Linked DNA regions of Arabidopsis thaliana. The protein of the gene in region 2 interacts with the protein of the main gene of each other region in a pairwise test. Each region holds a gene or a part of one and is shown on either strand. Other genes may lie near its edges.

The links.
Region 1: the proteins of ERF4 (region 2) and TCP11 interact in binary tests that used the Arabidopsis thaliana proteins (3 or more experiments, as listed by UniProt).

Annotation. Positions count from the first base shown.
Region 1 is NC_003076.8:2,678,285-2,682,043, reverse strand, and holds TCP11 (TCP family transcription factor), read right to left. Parts: upstream 1,644-3,759; 5' UTR 1,217-1,643; coding exon 497-1,216; 3' UTR 51-496; downstream 1-50. Other genes in the region: AT5G08320 (E2F-associated phosphoprotein), read right to left, coding at 3,441-3,696. UniProt on the Arabidopsis thaliana protein: Transcription factor involved in the regulation of the circadian clock. Acts as a repressor of CCA1 by binding to its promoter. No binding to the LHY promoter.
Region 2 is NC_003074.8:5,119,730-5,123,110, forward strand, and holds ERF4 (ethylene responsive element binding factor 4), read left to right. Parts: upstream 1-1,692; 5' UTR 1,693-1,742; coding exon 1,743-2,411; 3' UTR 2,412-2,833; downstream 2,834-3,381.

The DNA of each region.
Region 1 (3,759 bases), on a different chromosome or scaffold from region 2:
AGTTTTTGGTGGAACCTGAATTATCATCCGGACCGGCTCCGTTAACCCGAGTTCAAATTTGTTTCCTTTACTACGAAAGAGTAAATAGTGGGACAACTTCATTAACGAACGAACCATAATAGAATTCATGCTTAAAACTAACGGGACAACTTCAAATTTGTTTCTTTTGCTGTTTCTTTAGTTTTCTAAAGAGACTTGATTGAATGGCAATGATCACTAGTTAAACGACTTCTCTGTTTCGCTAGTAAAAACAGAGCTTTTATAGCGTTTTAGGTACAACAATCAATCAATCTCTCTCTCTTTCTATCACTCTCCGAAACAAATTAACGAGACCAAATATTCTTAAACCCTAAAACCCTAATCAAACAAGCAATAAGCTTAAATTAAGTAAAAAAGGAGCAAAAGAAACCGCAAATTAGAGGTACTTTCTAAACACTTTCGATGACATAAAACATAGGAATTTTTCTATACATTACCAAAAAGACAATACCATTTCTCAACGTGGTTCGTGGTCGTCTTCCCTCCGACCCGACCCGTTAGCTCCACCAGACAAAGAAGCAAGCAAATTGAGATGATGACCCGGAAGATAATTCCCAACTCTAGCTGCTGAAGCCTCACCCATTGCAGCTGCTGCGGCGGCGGAAGCTTGCTGTTGCTGCTGGTGGCGGACGAAGAGTGTAGCTGGTTGCTGCTGCTGCGCAAAAACCATTTCCGGTGGAGCTCCGGTTGCAAAGCTCCAGACTTGTCCGAAATCCGGCCTCGCCGGAACAGCCCAAAACCCACCAGAACCACCACCACCCATTAACGAAGTCCCCATTGTGTGTCCCACTGTTAACCCTCCTCCTCCTCCGCCGCCGGATTCTCCTTCCTCCGCTCTGACGACACGTTTCCCGAGAGTAAACGGAGAAGAAGTGGAGAGAGAAGCAGTGGAGAAACTCGCCGGAGTAGTGCCAGTTCCAGTGGCGGCTATGATAGAAGGCTCAGCTTGACGGAGAAGCCACTCTATGGTTTGACCATCGGACTTGTGACCTAACTCTCTGGTCAATTGAAAAACTCGAGCTGCGCAAATGATTGGCATACGAATCCTTCTTCCTCTTCCGTCAACTTTGCTGTGTCGATCTTTAGACGGTGGTTTCTTAACGGCGTTAAGAGGTCCTTTGTTTGACGTCTGCTCGACTATGATGCCGTTACTCACTGCTCCGTCGTTGTCGGCCATGGAATTAGGATTTCGTTATCACTATCTAACTCTCTCTCGAGGAGAAGAAGAAGAAGAAGAAGAAGAAGGAGGTAATGATTTGAGAGGAAGCTAGGCTGGTGGAGACAGGAAGGAGAGCACATGGCTGGTGGGGTCCCACACAGCTCACTTCTGCTAGGTTTTTTTAATTTGTCCGGACGCGGTTGAAGCTCACGCGCTTGACTCCGGTGTTGACTATAGCGTTGGACCACGGTCGGGCAGGAGAATTTAAGTTTTTAGGTTTAGGAGTTAGTTGGGGTCCCCATTTATATGGTTGCTTGAATTACATTAGCTAATTTACGAGTAATTAGGATTCGTAGAAAATAAGTAGCGTTACAAGAATAATATGAATTCGATTTTGGTTTTTACTAATTCTTATTACTTCTGTGACATGTAACCACAACAATGCTGATTTTTACCTTTATTTCTTATCGATAAAATTTGTTTTAGAATGAAGTAGTATATGTTTTATGCTTTGTAACCACAGTAATCATACACGTTTACCTCATGAGTTTAATGCATTTTATAGGATGTAGGGAAATTAGATTGCAATTAAGACAAAAGCTGTTTCCAGTTTCCACAATAGTTGAAAAGATGAGGAATAAGAGACAATCAATGGTGGTAATTGATTGGTGAGTATACTTTACACCTACACTGATTACGATTCTATTTTGTACGATTTTAATTTATTTATTTTTAGTCATTTATAATTTCACATCTACTAATTTGTGATTGTCTCTTATTTTTTATTTTTTATTTAACTTCTAGGATAAATAAATAGCTCAAATAAAAGAAATGACAATTACGCGCTTTATGACACAGGTTACTAATCTGAGTATAACCCAACCACTGTGACCCCCACACGATATGCGTTCGTGTGTGCAATTTGTATAATCAAAATTCTTATTACCCATTAAGCAATAATAAAACAAATCATTCCATTTGGAGCGTGGCATAATAAAAGTAGCCGTGCCCACCTGGCAGATATGCCGATTTTGATATGTCGTTGCGTCGAGATTTTTTAAATTGTTTCGCGACAATAATTTCTTTCATGATGAATATATAATGCACATTATACTATATTATCGTCTTAATATTTGTTATATGATTGTGAAATCCTTTAACAGAAATAATTGTTATGATGATTGCCGTACCCATACGATACAACCATGAGTGATGTTTAAATGCCTTTTTTTAAAAACTATACCCAAGCCAACTTCTTAAAGTTGTCGATATAATACGTGAAGGTGCTATCAAAAGCGATGAAAAGAATATTTTTGTGCATGCTTAAAGTATGATAGATAGTAAAAACTTGAAACTACGACGCACAGCTGAGGAACCACCAAACTAGAGACTCGTAGAGAAATTTTAGTCACATTTCGTAGCTACTTGCTAGGATTCAATTGAACTAGCTAGTTCTTAAAAGAAAACGTTGCCACAAAAGCTTACATACAAATTGTATGATACAATTGACAATTATTAATGACCGGCGCATGTTAAAAGTTATATTGAGTGATTAACTGGGATTTGAATGATTAGTTGTGGGGTTAGCTGGATAAATGCATAGAAATTTTTAATGATCACCAATTTACCAAAAATGCTTATAGTATATTCTAATCTTTTTATTTTATTTTAAAATAGTAATATGTGTACGAATCATTTGACAATTGTCAAATGTGTTAAACAGCTGGAGCCCATTCTCATCTGCCTTTATTTATTAATGGGAATTTGTATAGAATTATTAGTATGGGGGTTGGTGGACGAAAATACAAGAAAGTGACACTTCTGTCAAAAGAGAATCAACTCGTGTTTCATACAAATATCTTCTTTTCTAGTTTTCTCATTTGGCGATGCCTCTCTAGATTTTCTTAGCTTACTCCACCAATCAGAATAATCCACGTCATCTCGTTTTTTTAAACTGAGAGGATCGCTTTATCTTCTGCCATCTATTTGACTAGCGTGACTAAAAGACGTTCAGAGACCAACTCGCTTTGTAGTTTGTTGTATTTGGTATTTGTTTGATACTAAATTACTAATCATGTGAACTGTGAACGATTCTGACTTTGGTATAACTCAAAATTCTCTAGTGACTTGATTTTTATCAAACGATATACATGCAACGTAAAGATTAACGCAAACAATCGAAACTTTAATCCTAATCACCTGTTTAGAACTCGTTACAAATAACTCATAAAACCAGGTTGTTTTAAGGCTCGCTTGGAATGACATTAAAGAAATGGTAGATCTCTTCACTGTCAACTACTCCGATCTCTGTGGAACAAGCTGAGCAAAAGACCGGGTTAACTTTTTCGCTATCTTCAGAACCAGTTTCTTGCATCTCGGAATCTCTCCTTCTTTTACCAACCTTTAAGGGCATTGTATTCTGTTGCAAAACTGTGTCTGTACCTACTTTGCAATTGACCACAAAGACTGCTCTGTACTGTGTCACATACTGCTCGTGCCTGCAAAAGTTTTACTCAGATTGTCTTAATTTGGTTCCGCAGTTTATAATACTAAAACCAAGT
Region 2 (3,381 bases):
AACGGCGGGCCCACCGCCGTTAGAATCTCTCTCGGTTAGCCGACGCGGCCACCATTCTCTCTCTCTCTTCATCCATTCTCCACGCGTCGCGTTGACCACGTGGCACTATACATCTTTAAAACTCTTTCTATTTTATTTAAATAGCGAGTGCGTTGTGGGCCATCTTTGTTTTTCTTTGGCGGAGGGGCGGCTAAATAGCCTTTTGTTTTTATTTTAGTTTTATTCCGCGAAAGAAAAAGCAGTCAAACTCCAAGTTGAATTTGGAGCTGAGTCTACGAAGTCACGCATAACGCTCTTTCTTTCACGCGATCGCCGTCGGCACGTGTTTGGCGGTGAGATTCACGCTCGTACATGGAAACGCGGTTCCCAAGCCGCGCGTCCTCAAGGTGTTGCCACGTATTTTACATTTTTGCGTCATCCAATACTGTTCTTTGGTTTCTTCTTCTCTCTTCTTTTCAGGCGCCGCTGCTTAACTTATTTCCTAGTTTTTGAAGTTACTCTTGTCTTTAACTCACACTGCCATATAGTATGACTTTATTTACCTGTATTTTCAAATTTTTACACACATAACAGTATCTTTAGTTGTTTATTGGTCTTACAAAAAATTGGGTATTTTTTAAACCAAAAGTTTTGAGATACGAAAACAAAATTGATATGATCTGAAAAATTAGTTACTCACATATTTGTTCAAGTTTTTTTCTCAATTATGCAAGCATTAAGGTTGATCCAACAGGTTATGAGAAAACAAACTGAGTTCATTACAAGTGTACTCACTAGAGCAAGCTTGTGTAGTTATATCCTAAATCATGAGGGTAAATGGCACATGACAATTCGTAGTTAGATTAACTATATATATTAAATTAAGATGTGGGATTACATTCTTAATTCCCTCGGTTATGAAAATCAAAATCTTATCACCAGCATTCAAGGGAATACGCTGTGTAGACAAAACAGCAAACAACATGCATCTCCATTAAATGCGTCAAATACTGTACGGATTTCTTTAGTTTTTTTGTTACAAATTGTATCAAAAGTTTGTTAGTACATTGTACATACAGATAACAAATGAATTTCACTTTTTAGATAAAATAGTTTACACAAAAAAAAAAAAAAAAGACTTTGCATCCAATATTTTCCACCACAAAATAAATCATTCAAAATACGGATTGATTAAATATGTATCATAGTAAGATCTATATTTCAAAATTTATCCTTATTTCATTAAGAACTTTAATGCAAAGATTACATAGTCCAATTAATTTTCTCATTGCCAAATATTAATAATTAAATTAAAGATCCAGTGATAAAAAGTTTTATTTTAAAATTAAAGTCAATCAAATTAATGTATTTAATTTGTATCTATATTTTTGACAATGTATTCAACTTTTTAAATACATCAATAAATTCATTAATAAGATGATCAACAAAAATTGAAAACGCTTGGTGAGGTTAAAAAAGAAATGAAGGGTTGATAAGAAAAACAAAATTCTTTGAAAGAGGAAAGAAAAACACGTGGCAAAAGATAAGTGGAGGTAAAAAAGAAAACCATGAAAACCGCTGGTGTTTTGTAAGAGAAGCCGCTAAAACCATTTCAGGCTTTGACTGTTCACAACAAAGCGCCCCAAAAGGAGCGTCGCTTTTACTCTCTCTCCCATCCTATATATAAACAACTCTCTCCTTTCCTCTTCTCCCTTCAATTATCTATCACACCACCACTCTCTCTCTAATCTATCTATCCGAGAATGGCCAAGATGGGCTTGAAACCCGACCCGGCTACTACTAACCAGACCCACAATAATGCCAAGGAGATTCGTTACAGAGGCGTTAGGAAGCGTCCTTGGGGCCGTTATGCCGCCGAGATCCGAGATCCGGGCAAGAAAACCCGCGTCTGGCTTGGCACTTTCGATACGGCTGAAGAGGCGGCGCGTGCTTACGATACGGCGGCGCGTGATTTTCGTGGTGCTAAGGCTAAGACCAATTTCCCAACTTTTCTCGAGCTGAGTGACCAGAAGGTCCCTACCGGTTTCGCGCGTAGCCCTAGCCAGAGCAGCACGCTCGACTGTGCTTCTCCTCCGACGTTAGTTGTGCCTTCAGCGACGGCTGGGAATGTTCCCCCGCAGCTCGAGCTTAGTCTCGGCGGAGGAGGCGGCGGCTCGTGTTATCAGATCCCGATGTCGCGTCCTGTCTACTTTTTGGACCTGATGGGGATCGGTAACGTAGGTCGTGGTCAGCCTCCTCCTGTGACATCGGCGTTTAGATCGCCGGTGGTGCATGTTGCGACGAAGATGGCTTGTGGTGCCCAAAGCGACTCTGATTCGTCATCGGTCGTTGATTTCGAAGGTGGGATGGAGAAGAGATCTCAGCTGTTAGATCTAGATCTTAATTTGCCTCCTCCATCGGAACAGGCCTGAGCTTTTAACGGTGTCGTTTCAATTCGAAGCGCATGCGTTTCTTCTTCTTTTTGAGCTGTGAAAATTCGTTTTCTCATAGTTTTTCCTCTCTCTCTCTCTCAGTCTAAATTTATTACCAGTTTTTAGAAAGAAAAAACAGATTAAATCTGAGAGAGAAAAATATAATTTTAGCTGACATGGATCGTTATGTACATATTATTACATAACCGGAGATCTGAACTTTTGTTGTGTGCTTTTAATTTTTTGCGACTTGGTTTCACCCCATGTTGTTTCTCTATTTTTTTTACTACTTTTTTTTTTTTTGTTCTTCCAAATTTTCAATCAATAATTTGGTAATCTTCAGAATTATCTTGTCCAATCCAATTTCCGAAATTTTGATTATTACTACTTGTGGGTTGTGGCGGCTCCTTCTATTGGCTTTCCTTTTCTATCGTTACCACCAAATTAAAAAAATTGAAGGGACTAAAATTACTTATTTGACAAAACAAAATAATTGTAAGTTGAAGTATAAGAAAAACTAAAATTCAAAGTGAGATTAATAAAATGGTAGTTGAGTATCGTCGGCTTTTAACAATGGTCCAAGTTTCCAGCAGACACGCAGCCGGCGTGTGTGGGCCCTCGTTTTGCTCTCTGCGGCGTAAGTTAGAAAATTCTTTGCGCTTACGTCACTTAGTAGTAGGGTCCACTCACAGAGTACGGACATACTCATTTCTTTTCTTTCTAGCTAACTTGGAAGAGTCTTGAAGCTGAGAGTTAACACTCTTTAGGTCTGACAGAGAGAACCTAGATTTTTAATTTGATAGATTCTTAAATTTGGAAAAGAAACTGCCACAAAACAAAGATAAGATTTTGTTCAATTTTTTTTAAGAAAGATCTCTAGTTTCGTAAACAAATTTTTGTCGGCAAAAAATGGAAAAAGAGTACACAAAGTCTCTAAAGAAACAACTATGACTAGTCTAGATATTGGTTT